Linked DNA regions of Macaca mulatta. The main gene of each other region encodes a partner of the protein of the gene in region 3 in a complex. Links are inferred from orthologs where the notes say so. Each region holds a gene or a part of one and is shown on either strand. Other genes may lie near its edges.

Region 1 (8,153 bases), on a different chromosome or scaffold from region 3:
ATTCAGAGGACAGGACTGTGGGTGGTGGTGAGGAGGGGGAAGAAGCCTGCAGTAATCTCTGGTGAGGCTGTGCCACTGTCCCCTGCCAGGTTCTACTGGTCCCCGCCACCTCCCTTCAATGGCACCAGGTCATTCCTCAACTCAGGGGACCCTGAATGATCCCTGGGGGCCCCAGGACATCCACATGGAGCGGTCCATGCTCAGACGGGTGCAGCTGGGACACAGCAATGAGATGAGGCTTCACGGCGTGCTGTCCGAGGGCCCTGCCCACAGCCCCCCTGGCAGCCCTCCAGGTAACTGGGGATCTAGAGGCCAGACCCACCCCTGTCACCCCGTGGGTCCTCACTGGAAGGAACTGGAGCCAGAATCTTTGTGGGCAGAGAAGCATGATGGGAAATTCCTTTCCTTCCACCAGGCAGCTGAACCAGAGCAGAGCAGGTGGGGTTTTTAAAGCTAGCACTCTAGGCTGGACACAGTGGCTCCCACCTGTAATCTTAGCACTTTGGGAAGCCAAAGTGGGTGAATCACCTGAGGTGAGGAGTTCGAGACCAACCTGACCAATATGGTGAAACCATGTCTCTACCAAAAATACCAAAAAAAAAAAAAAAAAAAAAAGTACTGGGCATGGTGACATGTGCCTGCAATCCCAGCCACTCAGAAGGCTGAGATAGGAGAATTGCTTCAACCTGGGAGGCAGAGGTTGCAGTGAACGGAGATCGCACCACTGCACTCCAGTCTGAGTGACAGAGTGAGACTCCATCTCAATAAATAAATAAATAAAATAAAGCTAGCCCTCTGGATCCCCATCCCCTACAACCCACTGCAGGAAACCTCAGTTTCCCCATTTGTAAAATGGGCAGAGAAGCAGAGGCTGGGCCAGCTGGAGTAGGGTGATGGTTTGATACTGGAATGGTGTTTAGGGAGGTTGGAAGACAGGTGCCCTACTAGGTGCTGTGGCTGCAGTGACCAGAGGGCCCCGGGCAAAGGCCTCCCCCGCAGTGGGAATGCAGAGATGGGCTGGGGGAGAAGAACCAGCAGGGAAGCCAGAGAGGGAGGAGGAAAGCAGAGGCCCCGGGAAAGGAGTCACCAGAGAGCGGCCAGGCTGGCGAGCCCAGGGAAGCATCTGTGGGGTTCAGCGAGAGGGGTCGTGGTGACCTTGCGGGGGTGGTTTCTGGGAACCAGGGAGCAGAAGGGGTCTGGGGAGTGGAGGAGGTGAGACTCAGTGTGGATGGTTCTTCAGAAGTTTGGGTGGGAAAGGGCAGAGCCAGATGACAGGGGCTGGGGCCAGGCTGGGAGCCCCCATAAGATTTCAACCAAAAGTGGGGGCCAGTGTTCCAGTGCAGTGGGAAGCAGGCAGCAGAGGAGAGAGGAGCTGAATCCCAGAAGACACTGGCGTCCAGATCAGCTGGGCAGGATCAGTGGGGCAGACCCACCAGCTGGTGGAAAGACGCTTCCCAGGCAGCCCAACAGCACGTGTGGAGGTGTGGTGGGCAGGCACAGGCTGTGCGCCTGGGATGGTGTGGGCCGCTGGTGGGAGGTCTGGGGAGGAGGGTGAGTCAGTCTGGGGGTCAGGGCTCCGGGCCACTATCCAGCTGCTCCTGGCTCCAGGCCTGTCTCCCTTTGACCCACAGTCTCTGCCACTGCTGCCGGCCCAGAAGCTTTGTTTGAAGCAAGAATGCCCAGTCCAAGAATTCACCCCAAGGGGGATGCCGCCCAGAGAATCTACATGAAATCATGCTTTCTCGAGGATGCCACCATCGGCAACAGCAACAAAATGTCTATCAGCCCAGGGGTGGCTGGCCCAGGAGGAGTCGCAGGGTCTGGAGACAGGCAGCCAAGGGAGGACGCAGGTGAGCTGGGGTACCGAGTGGACCCCTGTGTGTTCTCTTTCTCTCCCCACCTTCCACTCATTCATTCATTCATTCTCATCAATCATTCGCTAATCTCTGGTTTCCCAGAGTCTGGAGGCAATGCTCACCCATAGCGAGGAGCAGCAGCTCTACAGTCAGAGCTCGAGGCTCCGTCCGCCTAGTGGAGGGGCCCACCCAAGTCACTTCACCCGGGAGCCTCTGTCTCCTTAGCTGGAAAGTGGGATGGTAAGAATAGCCTGAAGCAACCCCTACAGTGGTTGCAAGGCTGAGATAAAATCTGAAGGCAGAGCTCAGCCCTGCACCAGCCCTGCCAGCATTCAGGAGATAGGAGTGTTATTGCTGTCATGATTGTTTTGGGCCCAGAAAGGTGCTGGGTTGCCATGCAAATAAGGTTCTGCATCAGGGCACAGGCTGACCTGCCGCAGCAGAGACGCCACACATGGTGGCCCCGCCTGCTCGAAGCCCAGGTCTCATGTCTGGGTGAGGGTAGCAGACCAGGGATTCTTTTCCCTCAGGGATGAGTTGTCCCTGGGGCTCTATCCTCATCTGTGGGGTTGAACTTGGCACCAGCAAGCAGAGGGGCAAGACAGGGTACAGAGAGCCGCTGTTGTCTTTGACCAAGCCCACCCACCGCATCTGCGCTGTTCCGAGGGCCAGCACTTAGCCACGGGGGATCTGGGAAGTGCCGCCTGTGTCGAGGCAGCCTAAGCTCAGCAGAGACTGAGGGGAGGGGCTCCACTGCCAACAGGAAGAGGGGAGAGGGGACACCAGCGCGGTTCACCTTCCCAGCCACAGTTCTGCCCCTGGAAGCTGCACAGGCTGGTTGCAGAGCCCGAGGATCCCAACTCTGCAGAAGGGAGCTCGGGGCCTGGGGTAGGGGCAGCTGGAGAATAGGGCAGGTCCATACAAGGTGGATCCATACAGGGCAGGTGTACCTGGTGGGTGGAACAGTGTGGACAATGGCCTGGAGGTGAGGACATGACAGTACAGGAACCCACAGGGGTCTGAGGGTGACCTGAGTGTGGAGAGCAGAGCCAGGGTCTAGCTCCAGGCGGCAGTTGATGCTAAGGCAACTGGGAGCCATGGGGGCCTTAAGCAGGAGAGGGGCAGGATGAGATTTATGCCTCCCATATGAAGAAAGAATTAGAAGGAGGATTTGCACTCCTACCCTTTTGGGATCTGGAATAAGGGGTCACACCCAATCCCACCAGTGGGTAGAAAACGTGGATTCACAGAATCTGGAGGATTGGCCAGCATCCACCTTCCAGTGCCTGAAGGCCCAGGGGACGCATGTCCTGGAAGTCCAGAGGCTCTCCTCACCCCAAGGGCCATGTCCTTGCTGTCCCGGCACACTGAGGAGACCCTGGCCCCACGTGCCTTGCCTTCAAACTCTCCCTCCAGGACCCCTGGGAGCCCCATGTGACACCTGCGGAACGGGGGCCAGGAGCACAGGCCAGGAGCACAGGCCATGAGCATCTGGGAGCACGGACTCCCTTCCAGCAGCAAAGGGAGTCTCAGAAACCTCCAAGGCCACTGGGCACCCCCAGGAGGGCGTGTGCCACCAGTCCTCCATCCCCCACCTGGCTTAGGACCCCACAGCACAGGCCGTCTGCAGAACCCTGTGGGTCTCAAGCCAGACCACTGAAGACTCCTTTTTCTGGAAAGAACACAGCTCTGTGTTGTTAAAAAATGACCACACGCCCAAATTTGTCCTGCCACATCCTGACATTCTTCTCTGAGGTTCCAGCAGAGGAGCTGATGACATTCTTACCCCTTGTCCTGACCCACCCACCTCTCTTTGTCGCCAAGAGACATCTATAGGCATAGCTCAGAGATATTATGGGTCAGCTCCAGACCACCCCAATAAAGCAAGTCATGCAAATGTTTGATTTCCCAGTGCACATACAAGTTATAGTCACACGAGGCTGTAGTCTATTAGGTATGCACTCAATCACATTGTATCTAAAAAACAATGTATATACCTTAATGTGAAAATACCTTATTGCTAAAAGTGCTAAACATCATCTGTCTTCTGCCAGTCATCTTCTCTATGCTGGTGGAGGTCTTGCCTCGATGTTGATGGCTGCTGACTGATCAGGGTGGCAGTTACTGAAGGTTGAGGCAGCTGTGGCAATTTCTTAAAATGAAGTCCAACAATGAAGTCCACTGCAGCAATGGACTCTCCCTTTCACGAAAGCTTTCTCTGTAGCATGCAATGCTGTTTGATGGCATTTTACTCATACTAGAACTTCTTTCAAAATTGGAACCAAGCCCACCAACCCTGCTGCTGCTTTACCAACTCGGTTTATATAACAGTCTAAATCCTTTGTTGTCATTTCAACAATGTTCGCAGTATCTTCACCAGGAATAGATTCCATCTCAAGAAACCACTTTCTTTGCTCATCCGTAAGAAGCAACTCATCTGTTCAAGCTTTCTCATGAGATTGCGGCAATTCGGTCCCATCTTCATATTCCATTTCTAATTCGAGTTTTCCTCCTATTTCCACCACATCTGCAGTTGCTGTCTTCACTGAAGTCTTGAACCCCTCAAAGTCATTCATGAAAGTTGGAATCAACTTCTTCCAGACTCCTGTGAATGTTGATATTTTGACCTTCTCCCGTGAATCACAAGTGTTCTTAATGGCATTTAGATTGATGATTTTTTCCAGACAATTTTCAATTTACTTTGCCCAGATCCATCTGAGGAATCACTCTGTATTGCACTTATGCCTTTGTAAAATGTATTTATTGAAGAATAAGAAGTGAATGTTGAAGTTACTCCTTAATCCGTGGGCTGCAGAATGGATGCTGTGCTAGCAGGCATGAAAACAACATTAACTCTTTTTTACATCTCCATCAGAGCCCTTGGATGAACAGGTGCATTGTCAATGAGCAGGAAAAAAACAAACAAACAAACAAACAAACAAACTTTTTTTTTTTTGGCCTTTAGCCCAGGATCCTGAACACCCAGCTCCTGTGGTATGGACGATGAGCAGTAAAATGTTCAAAGGAATATTTTTTTCTGAGCAGTAAGTCTCAATGCTAGGCTTAAAATATTCAGTAAACCATGCTATAAACAGAGGTGCTGTCATCTAGCTTTGTTGCTTCATTCACAGAACACAGGCAGAGTCGATTTAGCATCGTTCTTAAGGGCCCTAGAATTTCCAAAATGGTAACTGAGGAAAGGCTTCAGCTGAAAGTCACCAGCTGCATTAGTCCCCAACAAGAGAGCCTGCCCCTTTGAAGCTTTGAAGTCAGGCATTGACATCTCCTCTCGAGCTATGAAAGTTCTAGATGATATCTTTTCTCAATAGAAGGCTGTTTCGTCTACATTGAGAACCTGCTCTGTCATGCAGTCGTGCTCATCAATGATCTTAGCTAGAGCTTCCGGGTAACCTGCTGCAGCTTCTCCATTAGCACGTGCTGCCTCACCTTGTACTTTCACGTTATGGGGATGGCTTCTTTCCTTAAACCTCATGAACCAACCTCTGCTTACTTCCAACTTTTCTTCTGCAGCTTCCTCACTTCTCTCAGCCTTTAGAATTGAATAGAGCAAGGGCCTTGCCCTGGATGAGGTATAGGCTTCAGAGACTATTGTGGCTGGTCAATCCTCCATCCAGACCACTAAAACTTTCTCCACACCAGCTGCAAGGCTGGTTCACTTTCTCATCACTCATGTGTTTGCTGAAGTAGCACTTTTAATGTCCTTCAAGAACTTTTCCTCTGCCTTCACAATTTGATTAACTTTTGACCTAGCTTTCAACTTGTCTTAGCTTTGGGCCTGCCTCTCTCACCAAGCTTAATCATTTCTAGCTTTTGATTTAAAGTGAGAGACATGCAACTCTTCCTTTCACTTTAGCACATAGACGCCATTTGGGGTTCTTTTTTATTTTTATTTTATTGAGATGGAGTTTCACTCTTGTTGTCTAGGCTGGAGTGCAATGGCGCAATCTTGGCTTACTGCAACCTCCACCTCCCAGGTTCAAGCGATTCTTTTACCTCAGCCTCCTGGGTAGCTGAGATTACAGGCCTGCACCACCACACCCGGCTAATTTTGTATTTTTAGTAGAGACAAGTTTCTCCATGTTGGTCAGGCTGGTCTTGAACTCCCAACCTCAGGTGATTCGCCCGCCTCGGCCTCCCAAAGTGTTGGGATTCCAGGCATGAGCCATGGCACCTGGCCCATTGTAGGGTTATGAATTTTCCTAATTGCAATATTGTTGCGTCTCACGGAATAGGGAGGCCTGAGGAGAGGGAGAGAGAGGAGGAGACGGCTGAGCAGTGACAGGTCAGAACACATAGATTTATTAATTAACTTCATCATCTTATACAGGTGATATTTGTGGCACCCCAAAGCAAAGCAATTACAATAACAACATCAAAGACCACCAATCACAGACCACCATAACACATATAATCAAAATGAAAAAGTGTGAAATATTGTGAGGATTACCAAAATACGACATAGAGACAGGAAGTGAGCATATGCTGCTGGAAAAATTGGCACTGATAGACTTGCTCCATGCAGGGTGCCACAGACCTTCAACTCATGAAAAACAAATGCAATATCTATGCAGTGTAATAAACCAAAGTACAACAAGGCAAAGTGCGATAAAATGAGGTCTGCCTGTCACTTCCTCCTTGAGTGGCAGGCAGGACCTTATCCTGAGAGGTGTAAGGCCTGGAATGTTTTTGTTTTGTTTTGTTTTGTTTTGTTTTGTTTTGTTTGAGGAAATTGCTGATCAGAGACTGTCAGTGCCAGGGCATGGAGAGCCATCCTTTGGGGCCCCTGGGAGGACTGGGAGAGCCCTGGGATGGGGGCTTTCTGGTATCATTTCTGCTCCTCCATTTCACTGCTGTGAAACTAGGACAGGACTGGCTACATGATCTGGGGGCCCAATGCACAGTGAAAAGGTGGGGCTCCCTGTTCAAGACTTAGTACAAATCTAGACAGTAACAACAAAGGCTCAAGCTGAGCTTGAGATCCTTCCAAGAGCGGGTCCCTGTGGAAACGCCCAGGCCACGCGCCCATGAAGCTGACCCCCCATCTTCTCTTCCCCAGGTCCTCATCCCACAGACACACAATCCAGAAGTCACTTTCCTCAAGACATTGGTCAGCCCATCACTCGAAACTCCTCGAAGCTCACCCCCAAGCTGGAAGCTATGACTCTTGGAAACAGGAGTCACAAAGCTGCAGAAGGCAGCGACTATGTGGATGAAGCCTCACACTAGGGGAGCTGGTGGGGAGGTGGGATTTCATGCACAGCCTCACGTGGGGCTTGGACACGTGGGGGTGGGTGCATGCTAGGGACACTAGCCTGCTGCTCTCTGCATTCCTTAAGTGTCTTGTTTGTCCTGCTTGCTTCCAGACATAACCTGCATGAGTCAGTTTTGGGGGATGGACCTGGTGTGGGGATGAGTTCGGGCCAGGTCTTTTGACGGCCAGGAGCAGATGACAGGGAGTTGCTTTGGGGAACCCTTGGTGTGCCAAGAGGAGGTGGGTAGATGGGAGTGGGGCTCGGTAGCCTAGCCTGGCCCAGGCCTCTCTCTCCATTCTTTCCTGGGCTCGGGGCACCTGCCTTGAGTTACCTTCCATCATGGCTACTTGCTGTGGTTTGAATGTTTGAGTCCCAACAAAATTCATATCAACACATAATCCCAACTGGGCGCAGTGGCTCATGACTGTAATCCCAGCACTTTGGGAGGCTGAGGTAGGTGGATCACTTGAGCTCAGGAGTTCAAGACCAGCCTGGGTAACATGGTGAAACCCTGTCTCTACTAAAAATACAAAAACATAGCCAGGCATGGTGGTGCGTTTCTGTGGTCCCAGCTGCTCCAGAGGCCGGGGAGGGAGGATCATTTGAGCTCAGGAGGCAGAGGTTGCAGTGTGCTGAGACAGCGCCACTGCACTCACTCCAGCCTTGGTGACAGAGTGAGACTCCATCTCAAAACAAAAAACAAAAAAAAAACCTTAATCCCCAGTGCAGTGGTATGAAGAGGTGTGACCTTTTGGAGGGGATGGAGTCAAGAGGGCGAGTGGGATTAGCGCTCTCATGAAAGGGTTTGAGGGGGTCTGTTAGTCCCGCTTGCCTGTCCGCCATGTGAGGATGCAGTAACAAAGTGCCATCGTTAAAGCCGAGACCAACCCCTCGTCAGACACTGACTCTGCTGGCACCTTGATCTTGGCCTTCCCAGACCCTGAAACTGTAAGCAATAAATTTCTGTTTATAAATTGCCCGGGGTGAGGCATTTTATTATAGCAGCCTGAGCCAATTGAAACAC
Region 2 (7,744 bases), on a different chromosome or scaffold from region 3:
TGCTCCACAATAGAATGTCTATACTTTCACTTTGGTCTCATTTCCAGATTCTCTTATGCTTTGAAGACAAGAAGCTGCACTGGCATACTGGCAATGCTTGTAGATACCCTCTGAGATCAGTGTGCTTGTTTATACCAGAAAAAAATGTCATCACCAGGCCCCTTAGTCACAAAGCGTATCACTAAGTCATCTTCGGTCATTTTTTACAGTTTCCTAGCCACTTTCTGTTTCCAATCAGTGTAACTATGTGGCATGACTCAGATACAAGTTTCTATAGAAATTTTCTTCTGTGGCTGCTAGTGAGAACCCAAACCAGCTCAGCCAATGAGAGCTCCAGTTGTCACTCCTACCCACACTGGGCCTGCGGGTGACAGGAAGTGTTTATTAGGGGTACGTGTGAAGCTGTTCAGAAGTGTCAGAGTCTTTGTGGCTTTGAAAGTCACGTAGGTTATTTGGGCATGCTCTCCTGAGCCCTCTGTTAGTTAAGCTCTCTGAAGAGAAGGTGGCAGACCCGGTTTGCTGATCGCCCCAGGGATCAGGAGGTAAGCACCATGGAGGAGCTGGGTTAGAGAGGAGAGACTGAACCGTTTCTCCGCTGAAAAAGACAACTGAGGAAATGCCAGCCATGCTATGCACCCCTCTGAGAACTTGAACCTGGGAAAATGGACATGAGCTCTGAAAGGATGGGTTCATTTATCTTTTACTCACTTTAGCCATGTCCTCTGGTGTCTCTGAGCTGGTGTTCCTTAAGCTTCAGATCCCGTTGGGGTTTATCTATCAGCCTGTTTGTAAGACTGACTTTTATGCCAATAGCAAATACAAGCATTTTTTAAGTTAACAGATATTATGAAGTAAAATGCAAGTTTTTCATTTATAAGACAACGTAACTTCAGAGAAAATGATGAGTCAATCTTATTAAAATGTGATTAAAATGTGATTGTTATTATATAAGAGGCTTATAGGAAGATTAGTTTCTTATAGACAAGTAGGAAAGCAGGAATCATGCCAAGCTGATTGTAGATAGTCAGCAAAGGTAGTGTCCTTCCTTGCTTTCATCAGTAGGACGGGGGCATTTGGATGGCTTTATCATTACAAATATTTTTAATGTATTTATTATTTTGAAAATGGTCCTGATAATAGTTTTAATTTTCACTCATGAACTCTACATGTATAAGTAGAGTTTGTCCAGCCCTTACCAGCATATAAGGAAAAACATTATGAGGCCATTAACAGTGATAGTTTAGAATTTATTAACATTGACTCTACTGATGGTGGTATTCAAGCTTCCCTAAAATTCACAATCAGTTATTTTCAGCTCATAGACATCTTTTCCTGTTCTTCGGCTTATTTCTTCCACTTTATATGTTGCTGCTCTGGAAGTCATTAATTGCTAATAATGTCAAACATCTTTTTTATGTTTATTGGATACTTGAGCAAATTGCTCATTCACATCTTTTGCACACTTTTCAAATAGACTGTTTATTGTTTTCTTAGTGATACATGGTTCTCCATGTATTCCAAAAGCAAAACTTCTATTAGCTATATATATATATATGTATATTTCAGGTATCTGCCCAGTTTTTGCCTTATATAAACACTTTGTTTAGTGTGTGTGTGTGCACGTGTGTGTGTGTTTCCTACAAAGAAATTAAGAATATGCATGCAATCACATTTGACAAAGTTTGTTTTTTTTTCTGGCTTGTCCTTTTTGTGCCTTGTTTAAGAAACCTCCTTCTACTTCAATGTATTGAGAAATTCTGTGTTTTATTCAACATCATTACTATTCTGTTTAGATAATTAATCCAGCCAGATATATATTTGTGTATGATATAAGAGAAAGGCCAAATATATCATTCCCCGAATATTATCATTTGACTGAATACTTTTTATAGTTGGCCATTCTTTCCTTGTGATTTTTAACGCCACTTTGATTATGTACCATGCTTTAACTTACATGTGGTCCTGTTTCCACACTCTATTTATTAGTTCATTTTTCTCTATGCAACTGCCATATCGATTTAATTATTATACATTTGTAGTAAGTATTGATACCTAGTAGTAGGGATACTACATCCTAATAAACAATTCAACATGTTTTGCAGGTTTTTGTCTTTATTTTTTTCATTTAGGTTTTAATATCATTCTGATAAGTTCTATGAAAAACCCTTTGAGATTTTGGATGGGAGTTTATAGATTAATTTGACAACATTGCTGTCTTCATTTTATCAAGTTTTCCCATTTAAAATATCACACATACACCCACTTAAGTAGGTCTTTTAAATCTCCCAATGAAGTTTTATAAGGTTCCCTTTAAAACTCTTAAATATATTGTATTAGATGTTCTTATGTACTTTGTAGTTTTGTTGCTATTGGAAATTACTTTTTTACGTGATTTTTTTCACTCTTGGAGTGGTGCTAGAATAAAGGAATGCATTTCTGCATATTAATCTTATAGTTACAAACTTTTGAATTATTATTTATAATGTTTTGTGTATTATTTTGGATACTATACATAAACAACTATATTACTACAATGTGATTTTGGCAACAAGATACAAAAATAGGTTGATGGACAGAATAAAGAATCCAGAAATAGACTCACTCATATTTGGACAACTGATTTTTGCAAAGGTAAAAAAAATCGTTAAAAAGGATAGTCTTTTTAATATACGGTTCTGGGAAATTTCATATTCATATGAAAAATAAATGAACTTTGAGTCATTGCTTATACTATATACAAAATAACTCAAAACGGTACATACACCCAAATAAAATGATTAAACCATAATATTTTTAGAGGAAAACATAAAATCTTCTCATCTTGAGATTGGAAAAGATTTCTTAAATAAGACAGTGAAAGCATGATCCATGAAAGAACAAATTGATTAATTGCACTTCATCAGGTATATGTATATGCCAAAATTTATCAGATTGTATACTTCCAATATATGCACTGTGTTGTATGCCAGTTATGCCTCGATAAATCTATTTTAAAAATAAAAGGAAAATGTATCCTGTTTCCTTTTTGTTGTAGTGTTTTTTTTTTTTGTTTGTTTGTTTGTTTGTTTTGAGACAAAGTTTTGCTCTTGTCGCCCAAGCTGGAGTGCAATGGCGCGATCTTGGCTCACTGTGACCTCCGCCCCCTGGTTCAAGTGATTCTCCTGCCTCAGCCTCCTGAGTAGTTGGGATTACAGGCCCCCACCACCACGCCCGGCTAATTTTTGTATTTTTAGTAGAGATGGGGTTTTGCCATATTGGCCAGGCTGGTCTCAAACTCCTGACCTCAGGTGATCCGCCCGCTTTGGCCTTCCAAAGTGCTGGGATTACAGGCGTGAGCTACCATGCCCAGCTGATGTATCCTGTTTTCTAAGAATTCCAGAGGTGTTGTATACTTTCTGAAGATGTCTTTCCCAGGAATAGGGATCACCTTGCTTAAGAAGTTCTTACCTATGTCCCATTCAAATCTCTTTTACTACTGCAAACATTTTGTTTATTTTTCTTTAAAAATATTAATAGCTCACCTTGCTTTATTTTGAATGTAGAATCCCTTTTGGTGTTGTAATCTTACATGCTTTGGATTCCTTATAGGTTGATCCCAAAGTCGTCAGATGGAGAGTAAATACAAGGAGATACTCTTGCTAACAGGCCTGGATAACATCACTGATGAGGAACTGGATAGGTTTAAGTTCTTTCTTTCAGACGAGTTTAATGTCGCCACAGGCAAACTACGTACTGCAAACAGAATACAAGTAGCTAACTTGATGATTCAAAATGCTGGTGCAGTGACTGCAGTGAAGAAGACCATTCTTATTTTTCAGAAGTTGAATTATATGCTTTTGGCAAAACGTCTTCAGGAAGAGAAGGAGAAAGGTAATGTGGTAGTCCCGCACCTGCCCAGTCCCTTTCTCTGCCAAGCCTGGGCCTTTCCTTTCATGGCGTCCCTGGGATATGACCCCCAGTGCACACTGTTGGAATTTGTTTGCTAACTTAGTGCACCTGTCTCTTTGCCCCCTTTTACTGAGAATCACTTGTAGGAAGTGTTTGTTACAAATTCCACAAATCCATTCCAGCCTTGGTTTGCATCTCTTGTTCCAGCCTTTAGGGTGACCACTTCCATTTATCATCTTTTCTCCTTGCCCATCTTTGTCTCCAGTTCAATTACAGTGAATATGGATGTAGAATTTCAAAGTTAACTTTTCCCAACTCCATTTCCACAGTATGTAATGCTCTCACATTCTACTGAAGTCTCAAAAATATAAATTATTGCATTGGAAAATTGTAAACCAGGATATTGAGCACCTTTTTTTCCTTCACACAGTCTGTTTATTTCTCTCCATGTCCCTATCTTTCTATGGTCCCAGACTATGCTGCTTTCTTTAGGGGATGATCTCCTCCTTCTTCAGGGAGGGAGAATCCTCCTTCAGGGATTCTCTCTCCTCTCTATCTCCAGTGACAGTATAAATTACCCACAGCAAAAAGACTTTTTTAACATTATTCAATAAATCACTCATCATCTCCATCTGAATTATATACATTTAGTTTAAATTCCTGATTTTGTTTACCAAGAACAATTGATACGTCCCGGCTTCATGTCTGAAGAACAAAAAAGAGCTAACAAAGGAGCATATCACTCCAGGACTGTCCCAAATGAGAGTCTCCAAATGCAACAGTTTTAGGATTCAAAGTAAAACCGTAACAGCAAAGATTACAACAGCTTTTAATAGCATTTGTGGGTGTACAACACGGTGACATGGCTTCTCACACATGGTTTATAAGAAGGTTAAATGAAGCCACATAAGTGATACTATGTAGGTCCATAATTCTATACAGATGTAAACTGTGAGGTAGTTTCTAAGGCACTAATGAGAAAGGAGTGGTTGTTTTCCCAGGCTTTAAGTTAGAAGGTGTAGTTCTTTAAGATGGCCCTTAGATGGCGGTAACTACCCATGTTACTTCCATGTAACCAGCTGCCCTGTGTTTCTTATCTGGGATGAGACAGGAATCTATTGGCAAACATAGGCTGAGATATTTAGAAATATCTTCTATTTTGGCAATAAATCAAGAATTAATTCTTCTCTTTGACCAGGATAGCACAAAATTTCCCCTTCTACAATCTTCTCCCCATTTTGCTGTTCTAATGATTCTGGGATTTTGTTATTCTACTTAGCTAAAAAAGATCCAGTTTGGGACTAACTTGGAGACTCAGGAGTAGATCATCCAGAGGCTGTCCCAAATGAGAGTCTCCAAATGTAACAGTTGTAGAATTCAAAGTATGCTTTTGGGCCAGGTGCAGTGGCTCACACCTTTAATCCCAGCACTTTGGGAGGCCAAGGCAGGTGGATCACTTGAGGTCAAGAGTTCGAGATCCGCCTGGTCAACATGGTGAAACTTTGTCTCTACTACAAATACAAAAATTAGCCAGGCATGGTGGCAGGCGTCTGTAATGCCAGCTACTCAGGAGGCTGAGGCACGAGAATCACTTGAACCCGGGAGGCAGAGGTTGCAGTAAGCTGAGATCATGCCTCTGCACCCCTGCCTGGGCAACAATAGTGAGACCCTGTCTCAAACAACAACAACAACAACAACAAAACACAAAGTATGCTTCCTGCATGCTCTACAAGAAGGCAACTGAGTTCCTTCATCGCTCTCAAATTCCATCCGTGGACATACTTAGGCCTCTTTTGAATGTAGGAAATTTTTGTGTGTCCATGCTATTTCTATTATTGTATGAAAAACTTTTGTTTCATTTTTTTGAACAGTTACTATCATTCTTGGTTAAGTGATCCTTCTCTGTTGCCATGGCATGTCTGCATGTAGAGTGCTATATGCTCTTCTACTCACAACCTCACCCCATGGAAGGTAGAAGATACCTGGAGAATCTTTAATGAAGACAGAGGCAATAATTAGTAGAGAGGAGAAGCTTTTGTATGAAGCAAGATGAGAAAATACAAGGATTCATAAGCATAGAAAAAGGAAGCAAAGAGAAAATGTGATCACAGTCTACAGAAGTCCTGCAAGATTAAAATAAAATGCTGAAAATGATAAATGAGATAATCAGTAACAATGTCCACCTGATTATTAAGGCAAATGAGAGATTTATAGTGGGCAGACAAGCTTGTCCACAAATATTGGTACCACTGTGTGTGAGATGAAGTATGGCTGATGTGATGTGGTAGAATGGTAGGTTGATTCCCTTGGCCTCCTTGATGCTGTTTTCTCGCCAATGCTGTGAACATAGAAGAGACTTTATCTGCATACCTTTCTGAAACCAGTTGCATGGAACTAACTTATCATTAGAAGGTTAGTGTAACTTCTTTCTAGAGCAGAGATCCTGCTACAATATCCCTGTCAGACAGTCAACCACTTTCTGATCTTTGAAAGGTAATGACAGAGTACCTACTACCTCATAAAACAGTATCGTTTCTGTTTTTAGTAAAATCAAAGTGATTGCCTTGCTATTTCAGCCCAGAGTTGTTCAAATTCTATCAGAAATGACATCTAATAATTTCTCAGGCCCTCTTCTGCCTGAGAGTGCCTTAAGTCATTAAACACGACCATCTTGTTACATGGTCTTTTTAAAAATCAGGACTAGGAGTTGGCTTTTCACAATAACATATAACCTGACCATAGATGTGGAGGAGCCCAGCCAAAGTATACAACTGCATTTTGTAGGCATTAGTGAGGAGCCAACATGCCACCCATCCATCCATTTCTTCATCCATTCAGTAAATACCTATTGAATTGCTAATAGGTACAAGGAAAGCTTTTAGGTTCTTATGATAAAACAAGGTGTTAAAAACAAATCCAAATTTTATACAGCTTATATTCTAAAGGGAAAGTAGATATTTTTCTTACAGGAAAATTTATGAATGTAATTAATTGAGACAAATGCTCTAATGGAAAGGAAGATGGTTCTTCAGCAGCATGTGTCAAAGGAGCATTAACATAAGCCACGAATTAGAGTTGGTGTTGGTCAAAGTGGGTTCCATAGGGAAGTGACCCTTGCACTAAGCTCTGAAAAATGCATAGGAGTTAAAGGTACCTTCAGTCAGAGGGAACACTGTGAAAATCCCTATGACAGCAGGTGTTGACCTGCTTGAGGACTGAAAGAAGGCCAGTGTAGCTGGAGTACAGAGAGTCTTCAGAGGGCAGGATGGGGTCCCCTCGATAGAAGGACAAGGCAAGGCCTTGTAGAACATAATTAGAAATCTGTGGCCAGGTGCGGTGGCTCATGCCTGTAATCCCAGCACTTTGGGAGGCTGAGGTAGGCGGATCACAAGGTGAGGAGTTTAAGACCAGCCTGACCCACATGGTGAAACCCCGTCTTTACTAAAAAAATACAAAAATTAGTCAGGCATGGTGGCATGAACCTGTAATCCCAGCTACTCAGGAGGCTGAGGCAGGAGAATCACTTGAACCTGGGAGGTGGAGGTTGCAGTGAGACGAGATTGGGCCACTGCACTCCAGCTTGGGTGACGGAGTGAGACTCTGCCTCAAAAAAAAAAAAAAGAAAAGAAAAGAAATCAGCCCTTGTTTCATAGCAGTAGTTTATTCATTTTCACTACTACATAAGATTCCATTTAATTGATAATTACATACACATATAAACTCATATACATATACATATATAGAGAGAGAATTGGTCTATTTTTTATTGTTATTTTAGTCATTTGAGGCCATTGTGAAAAATGCTGCTATGAATATTTATTATAAGCCTTATGTACTTATCTTTGTATGTTTGTAT
Region 3 (8,485 bases):
CTCAAAAAAAAAAAAAAAAACAAAAAAACAAAACAAAAAACAAAAACAACAACGACAAAAAAAATTAGTCCCAGCATTTTGGGAGGCCAAGGTGGGCGGTTCACCTGAGGTCAGGAGTTCGAGACCAGCCTGGCCAACGTGGTGAAACCCCGTCTCTACTAAAAATACAAAAAAATTAGCTGGATGTGATGGCAGGCGCCTGTCATCTCAGCTACTCGGGAGGCTAAGACAGGAGATTGGCTTGAACCCGGGAGGCAGAGGTTGCAGAGAGCCGAGATTGCGCCGTTGCACTCCAGCCTGGGCAACAAGAGCGAAACTCCATCTCAAAAAAAAAAAAAAAAAGAAAAGAAAAGAAAAGAAAAATTAGTGAGCCACTGTCTCTCATTTCTAAGGGTCTGACATGATGTTAATTAGTTTCATGGTTAAACTTACTGGGAAATTGCTGTTTCTTCCTGTGTCTCATGCGTTCATTCTGGGATAATTTTTTTTTAAATCTTCTTTGTGCACATCCATTAGAAACTTCTTTAGGAAAGTGACTGTTCGTAGTAAACTCAGTTTTCATTTATTTGAAAATGTCTTTTTTTCTTTTTTTACCTGTCTGTAAATATAAAATTGTATACACACCAAAGTTATCTTTTTCAGGAACACTTTTCCTGTCTTTGAGCACCTTAAATTATTTCAACGTCTTCTGGTTTTTACTTGGCTGTTGAGAAGTGTATTTCCAGTTTAGTTACTGCTGCTTTGTAGATGATCTATGCTTTCTTTTTAACCTTTAATGTTGTTTATTTGTGTTCACTGTTCTGCAGTTTCACTGAGGTATAACTAGAGTGAATTTCTTTATATTTATCCTTTTTGGCACAACTATATTTGTGTATATTTGACTTTTTATATTTGCTCATTTATTTATTTAGAAACAGGGTCTTGCTCTGTTGCCCAGACTGGAGTGCAATGGTGCAATCATAACTTACCATAACCTCCAACTCCTGAGCTCAAGCTCTAACCCTAACCCTAACCCTAACCCTAACCCTAACCCTAACCCAGCTCAGCCTCCCAAGTAGCTAAGATTACCAGAACTGGCAACCTTTTATTTTAATTTTTATGTTGTAGAGATGGGGTCTCACTATGTTGCTCAAGCTGGTCTTGAACTCCTGTCCTCCAGTTATCCTCCCACCGTGGCCTCCCAAAGCACTGGAATTACAGGTGTCAGCCACTGTGCCCAGATGGATCCTTGTCTTTCATCAGTTATTGAAAATTGTCAGTCATTTTTTCCTTAAATATTGCCTTGCCCCATTTTTAATTTTTCACTTCTCTTCTCATGGGATTCCAATTTAACATGTTAGACCTACTCATTCTTTGTCTCTTAACTTTTCTATTTGCTCATCTTTGCTGCATTCTGGAGAATGTCTGCAGATTCATCTTTCAGTACACTAATTCGTTCTTCAGCTATATCTTCTGTTTAACCAAAATCTACAATTTCAATTTTAATGGTTACATACATTTTTTATTTCTTGATGTTTTATTTTTTGTAAATATATCTGGACATTGTTTATGATCTCTAATGCCTTGCTCTTTTATTTCTCTACTCTATTTTTTATTTCTTTAAACATTTTACAATAGCTTCTTTAGTTTCTTTATCTGATTATTCCAAACTCTGAGTTTCCAAATTCCAAGAATCAACCTGTGCCTAGGTCCACCCCCACACCCCCTTGCTGGAAGCTGAGGGTCCTGTTAGGCACTTACTCTAAGGTTCTTCTCCCTGCTCTTCCTTCTTTTAAAGGGGCTGTTTATTTTGAGTCAAAAAGTTGTATAGGCCCTGATACCACACCCAACTTTGTGCTTCACAGTAGTTTATCCCTGATTCTCAGGGTCTCATACCAATCTGAAGAAACCTGGTTATAACACCTTTCCAACTCCTTTTTGCCTGCTTCCTTCAAGTGGAGATACTGAGCCTGGGTTATTCTCTCCAAAAAGAATCACAAAGGGAGTGGCTACCCCTTTTGATGGTTCTCAGCTTCTGACTCTAGGCTTTTCTGAGGACCTGCTACACTTCTTGCCTTCTTGGATTCTGTGTGATACCACCATATCTCTATACTAAAGCCTACTTCAGACGGATTTCATGAACTGTGCAGGTGAGAGCCCTCAGTCCCTATAGGAACCCGATCTCCTCTTTCCTCCTACTGAGTATGGAGCTCCATCTAGGATGATCAGTGCCTTAAAAGAGGCTTAATATTTTTGGTTGTTCATTTATTCATTCAATTCAACAAATATTTATTGGGTATCTGCCATGTATTGGCTTTTAAAGAGACTACAGTTGAACAATTCCCTAAATAGCTCCAAAATAGCATGAGCTGACCCTACCAGAAGCCATGGTGTAGCTCTCCAGGAGTTGTTCTAGAAAAAACTGCTGATCACTTCTGCCTCAACCAGAAGAGCCCATGGACCACTGGACAAAATGGAAAGCAAGTACCAAGGTGAGCACCTTTTAGTGAAAGCCAACACACAACCCACAGGGTTGAGTATCCCTGTGAAGGACTGAGTGCCTAGGGCTGGCCCTATCGGGTTCCCACAACCTCCAGTCATGGTCAGACCTCCAAAAGGTAAAATATGGACACCTTTTTTCTGCCCTAAATCTTTAAGACTCTCCATGCTTCTGGGTTATCAAAAGCCTGTGTCCAGAGCATGTGCTTGTCAGGAACATTAATTAGGGTATTTGCATGCAAGAGTTGTCATGCAAAGGAGAGGGCAGGAAAGCTCTGAATTGTTTCCACTGCAGTGTACACCACAATGTCACCAACTTGCTGGATGGGCTGGTATATCTAGCCTTACCACAATGCCCTTGGAGTGGGTTTGGGGTCTGCCAGCTCAAGGAGCTCCTGTTCATAGGGCATGTAAGTCCCTATGAACATATAAGTCCCAAGGAATACAAATAGGGATCCTTCACTACATCGTTGGATGCTTCACAACTTTCCCAGCCTCCTGCAGGACCAGCTGAGTGGTCCTGCAACCTGTGTGAAAACAGGTGAAACCTATGTGAAAACAGCCCTGAAACCTATGATGTGAAAACAGGATAACTTGATGGTTCAGAGCCATTATTTCCATATGGGCTTAGGCAAGGTACTTAAACTCTCAGTGTCTCAGTTTCCTCATCTATAGAAAGGTAATAAAAGCAGTACCTATCCCCTTAGGGTTCGTGTGAGAATTAAATAAGCTAATCTATGTACCTGGTGCATGATAAGTTTTATATATGCATTGGCTATGATCTTAGGGCAGCTATGAGAGAGCTGAGCCCCAAAACCATAAAACCTGCCTAAGCACCATCTCCACTCATGGCCTGGCAGGTGGTGGAGCAGGAAATCCTGTGGGAAAAGAGAAGGCTTTGACTGTAGGAGTGGGTTGATTGTGGGTTCCTGGAAGGTGAGGACCCATTGCCACACCTAACCTGGCCGCTGCATGCGGCAGGCACTCAGGAAACGCTAGTCAGGGAGAAAGACACTAGCTTTCACTTTGCCCCCTGCCCCACCCCAGGGGCGGGACTGTAGAGGCGCCTGTAAGGGAAGTTGTTCAGTCAACTCAGAATACGGGTAGCAACCCGGAAAGTGGAGTCACCGTCCTGGTCTAGAGACTGATCCCTGCAGAGACAGATCCCTTCCCCTCTCTGCCAAAGACCGCAGCCCCAGAAGTCATTCCATCTCCTACTGCTCGCAATCTCCAGAGGCCCCCTCGCACCTTCCAGCCTGATGTCGTGCGTCAAGTTATGGTGAGTAGGGAGTGGCATGTCGATCGCAGCCTCCGACATTCACACCCAGAGCGCCCCACGGACTCGCTCAGAGAACGCCTTTGAGTCTGGAGACGGTGGGGGCCGGCGAGAGAGGCCGGGGATTGCAGTAAGAGCGCCGAGTCACAGGGGCGCGGGGAGCAGCGCTGGCGTAGGGCACTGCCGGCTAGTGGGCGACACCCCTGTCTCAGGCCCAGTGGTGCCTCCGCCTCCTTGGTGTCCATCGAGGAACTGGAAAACCAGGAGTTCGTCGGCAGAGGCGGGTTCGGCACAGTGTTCCGGGCGCGATATAGGAAGTGGGGCTACGATGTGGCGGTCAAGATTGTAAACTCGTGAGTGACCCCTGTTGCCCCCCCGGCCGCAATCTGGCCAAAAAGGTGGAGCCACTGTGCTCTGGGGCCTGAATGGGGAATGGAGGGATTTTTCCCACGACCCCGGGTGACTCCAGCTCTCTCCTGGAGTGTAGGAAGGCGATATCCAGGGAAGTCAAGGCCATGGCAAGTCTGGATAACGAATTCGTGCTGCGCCTAGAAGGGGTCATCGAGAAGGTGAACTGGGACCACGTGCCCAAGCCGGCTCTGGTGACTAAATTCATGGAGAACGGCTCCCTGTCCCGGCTGCTGCAGCCCGAGTGCCCTAGGCCCTGGCCGCTGCTTTGCCGCCTGCTGAAAGAAGTGGTGCTTGGGATGTTTTACCTGCACAACCAGAACCCGGTGCTCCTGCACCGGGACCTCAAGCCATCCAATGTCCTGCTGGACCCAGAGCTGCACGTCAAGGTCAGCTGCTCTACACCCCTCTCAGCCTCAGGACAAGGTCCCACCCCAGAGCAGCTCCAGCCAGGCCCACTGGACACCAGACCTCCAGAGCCCTGTCTATTGAATAGGCGTAGCCTCTCCCTCTGGACACAGGGCTGCCAGGGCACAAAGCCCAGCCAGGAGTTTTAGCTCCTGCCATACCAGGTGATAGAGGCCCCGACCCACACGAGTCATTTCCACCAGCTGCCCCACCAACCCCTCCAAAGAGTCATGGCTGACCCAGCCCTGGAGACTCACACCTTGACCCAGCCCTACCACAGGCACCTAGATCTACTATCCAAGGGAGCCTCTTCCCTTGACCTCCACACTCCCTTTACAAAGCTGAACCTGAACCTTCTGGGGGCAAGGGGGTTTCTGGAGGCTGCCTGGCCCCCTTGTCTTCCCTACCTCCCACTTCTTTCCTTCCTTTGCAGCTGGCAGATTTTGGCCTGTCCACATTTCAGGGAGGCTCACAGTCAGGGACAGCATCCAGGGAGCCAGGGGGCACCCTGGGCTACTTGGCCCCAGAACTGTTTGTTAATGTAAACCGGAAGGCCTCCACAGCCAGTGATGTCTACAGGTAAGGATCCCAGCCCAAACACACAGCCGGGATTCCTACACTTCTCTGGGCCCTCCCAGGGGGTGATGTATAGGAAAGGAGTCTTGCCAGTGATTGGACTGGTCCTCAGCTTTGTGTCTCCTGCAGCTTCGGGATCCTAATGTGGGCAGTGCTTGCTGGAAGAGAAGCTGAGTGTAAGACTCTAGGCGGATTCTGGGATCCTTAACCCCAGGTGCCCTTCTCTTGAAAGCCCCAAAGCTTCCCCTTCCTGCTCACCTACTAAGACTGCCCTCCTCCATCCTTGTGCTCCCACATTACACTCCCTGCCTCTTTCCATGATGGAGCAGATATTCCCTTTTACCCTGAATGCCTTCTCTTCTCACCCTCCTCCCCTACTCCAGTGCCAACAGAAGCATCACTGGTGTGTGGAGCAGTGTGCAGGAGGCAGACCCGGCCCTCATTGACTGAGCTGCCCCAAGCTGGGCCTGAGACTCCCGGCTTAGAAGGACTGAAGGAGCTAATGCAGCTCTGCTGGAGCAGTGAGCCCAAGGACAGACCCTCCTTCCAGGGTGAGCTGGCCAATTAGCTGGATCTGGGGTAAGCTTGGGTCTGTCAGCATGGGGCTTTCCTCAGGAAAAGAAGATTTGCTCACCTGCAACCCACTCTGCTGTCCCTCTAGAATGCCTACCAAAAACTGATGAAGCCTTCCAGATGGTGGAGAACAATATAAATGCTGCTGTCTCCACAGTGAGCGCCAACATCACCCCTCTCCAGGAGCTGGTCAGGGATGGCACAACATGGCTACCTGGCCATCCAATGACTCACCATTAACCACAGCTTTTTTATGCCTTGACCTTTGTCCTCACCCTCCCCAGCCCACCCCTGAGTTCCAAGAGACTACTCCCTTGGGTTTACTCTGGCTCATCCAAGTCATACCCAGCAAACTCCTCCCATCCCTGCAGGTAAAGAATTTCCTATCTGAGCTCAGGAGCAGCAATCCGAGATTTTCTACCCCCGAGTCAGGCCAAGGAGGGACAGAAATGGATGGCTTTAGGAGAACCACAGGAAACCAACACTCTCGTAATGATGTCATGGTTTCTGAGCTGCTAAACAAACTGAATCTAGAGGGGTCTCCCAGCTCTGTTCCTGAAAAATACCCGAGCCTTACCAAGAGGAGCAGGGCACAAGAGGAGCAGGTTCTGCAAGCCAGGACAGCAGGGACATCTTCAGATTCAGTGGCCCAACCTCCCCAGACTCCAGAGACCTCAACTTTCAGAAACCAGATGCCCAGCCCCACATCAACTGGAACACCAAGTCCTGGACCCCAGGGGAATCAGGTGAGACATTGGCAGGATTAGGGGATGCACTAAGAGTCCTATAAATGCTGTCCCCTTGCCAGGCAAAACTTGGGGCTGAGAGGAGTGCACTGGGCGGTCCAGGCTCCAGGACAGAACTGGATGCTCTGTGATGTTTGCAGGGCGCTGAGAGACATGGCATGAACTGGTCCTCCAGGACCCCGGAGCCAAATCCAGTAACAGGTACCCACTCTCCACCTCTTTCTTTTCCCTGTTCAATTCTTCCATGAGACTCCTCCTCCAGATCTATATCTAGATTCAGGGTACTTTCTGGAGGCGAGGGGAGAAGATGATCTAACTCAACCTCATTTCATAAATGGGAAAACTGACACCCCCTGAGAAAGGAGCCCTCTGAGGTCACACAACGAAGCTTGGATTTTTCCCTGAGTTTTCTAACTTTCCACAGCATCAGCTCTGTGAGCCCCCTAAGTTCCATTGTTTCAGCAGTCCAGAGGACTTCCCAGCAAAAAAGATCAGGGTCTCAAATGTCAATTGCTACTCTCTAGAGCTTCTGCTAAGCCAGTTCTGGAGAGGAACTCTGAAGGGAAGGGCACAGGACACACCTTAACACAGTCATTTGGGTGACCACTCCACTCAAGGCCAAGCTGGGGGTGGAGACCTCATACTCCCCACCCACCCCCAACTTGGCCTTTCTGACAGCTAAACCCTCCTGCCACCATCACTATTTCTCTTAAAGGGCGACCACTCATTAACTTACACAACTGTTCTGGGGTGCAAGTTGGAGACAACAACTACTTGACTATGCAACAGACAACTGCCTTGCCCACAGGGGGCCTGGCACCTTCGGGCACGGGGAGGGGCTGGCAGCACCCCCCACCAATAGGTTCGCAAGAAGGCCCTGAAGAACCTGAAAACTGGAGCGGGCCACATGGTTGGTATAATCATAGTGGAAAATAAAGCACCTTCAGAGCTTGCCTCCAAGAGTTAGGAGTTAAGGAAGAGCGCCACCCCTTGAGGCCCCTGACTTCCTTCTAGGGCAGTCTGGCCTGCCCACAAACTGACTTTGTGATCTGTCCCCCAGGAGTCAATAAACATGATGGAATGCTAGCCAAAGTCTGAGCTCAGCCAGGGGCCGGGAGGGACTGGGATGGGGGTGGGAGCTGCCAGTGAGGGATAGGGAGGCACCACAACTCTGCTATGGCAGGAAGCGGGGATGCTGGGGGCTGGGAGTGGGCAACGGCCTGGCACACAAGGTCAGGGCACAGCCGGCTACAACAGGAAGGAATCCCAGAGGCCTGGTTCCCCAGACCACTCTAATCTCAGGGCAGTGCTTCCTTTAAAGCCTAGGATGGCGACCCCACCCTAACCCTAAACTCTGGGGATAGAGGCTGTGGTCCCTTTTCTTCTGGGCTCTCAACTCAGTTGCAGCGCTCTGGGAAGGGATGAGTGGGTGTGAAAGATCACAGACCAGGCCCCCCACGGTGCCCTCAGGTTCTTAGAGATCATGAGGTCCCATACCTGCCTCCACCACACACTCAGGTTGCTTCCTAGACATTGCTTCCCTTTTGATTCCCAGCTGCTCTTCGGGAGTGGAAAGCTATGGCTCCTAAAGCTATACACACGCGCACCCCCTCCCACGGAACAGTTCAAACCTGGTAGTAGTGGTTGCCAGCCAGGCGGAGAGACGAGGAGAATGAGCGCCCCCCGCTCTGACCTAGATCCCCACCAGGACTCACATTCTTCCCTACATTCTCGCCAGGCTTCAGCCCCCCGCCCTCAGTCTCCCCACTACCAAACGTTCACCCCCATTTGGCCACACCCTATTCGGTCCACCCCAGCCACCCCTTCGCATCTCTCCCAGGGTCCACATTGCCCTTCCCTGAAGGGGCTGAGGCGGGAAGGCGATGGTGTTAAGAGAGACAAAACCAAGTGCGGGAGGAGACCAGGGGAGTCCGGCTTCGGCACAGGAAGGGGCCGGGCTGTCCCGTCGGGGAAGTGGGAGGGGGGCCGCGGCGCCTGGAGGGAAGCTCCTGTCGCCCGG

What was found. The genes of interacting proteins can lie anywhere in the genome.
Region 1: RIPK3 (region 3) and ZBP1 share a complex: the UniProt entries of both Homo sapiens proteins name them as parts of the AIM2 PANoptosome complex. The link is inferred for Macaca mulatta from reciprocal best matches to the Homo sapiens genes RIPK3 and ZBP1.
Region 2: RIPK3 (region 3) and AIM2 share a complex: the UniProt entries of both Homo sapiens proteins name them as parts of the AIM2 PANoptosome complex. The link is inferred for Macaca mulatta from reciprocal best matches to the Homo sapiens genes RIPK3 and AIM2.

What each region holds. Positions count from the first base shown.
Region 1 is NC_133415.1:110,406,078-110,414,230, reverse strand, and holds the end of ZBP1 (Z-DNA-binding protein 1), read left to right. Parts: intron 1-89; coding exon 90-293; intron 294-1,631; coding exon 1,632-1,850; intron 1,851-3,272; coding exon of another isoform or gene 3,273-3,343; exon of another isoform or gene 3,344-4,389; coding exon 4,390-4,637; 3' UTR 4,638-4,799; downstream 4,800-8,153.
Region 2 is NC_133406.1:107,850,003-107,857,746, forward strand, and holds part of AIM2 (interferon-inducible protein AIM2), read left to right. Parts: intron 1-408; exon of another isoform or gene 409-542; intron 543-3,588; 5' UTR 3,589-3,608; coding exon 3,609-3,870; intron 3,871-5,759; exon of another isoform or gene 5,760-7,744. UniProt on the Homo sapiens protein: Sensor component of the AIM2 inflammasome, which mediates inflammasome activation in response to the presence of double-stranded DNA (dsDNA) in the cytosol, leading to subsequent pyroptosis.
Region 3 is NC_133412.1:97,454,189-97,462,673, reverse strand, and holds RIPK3 (receptor-interacting serine/threonine-protein kinase 3), read left to right. Parts: upstream 1-3,518; 5' UTR 3,519-3,737; coding exon 3,738-3,757; intron 3,758-3,966; coding exon 3,967-4,107; intron 4,108-4,241; coding exon 4,242-4,551; intron 4,552-5,003; coding exon 5,004-5,149; intron 5,150-5,275; coding exon 5,276-5,322; intron 5,323-5,529; coding exon 5,530-5,697; intron 5,698-5,807; coding exon 5,808-5,875; intron 5,876-6,090; coding exon 6,091-6,465; intron 6,466-6,605; coding exon 6,606-6,666; intron 6,667-7,180; coding exon 7,181-7,401; 3' UTR 7,402-7,551; downstream 7,552-8,485. Other genes in the region: ADCY4 (adenylate cyclase type 4), read left to right, coding at 8,138-8,485. UniProt on the Homo sapiens protein: Serine/threonine-protein kinase that activates necroptosis and apoptosis, two parallel forms of cell death. Necroptosis, a programmed cell death process in response to death-inducing TNF-alpha family members, is triggered by RIPK3 following activation by ZBP1.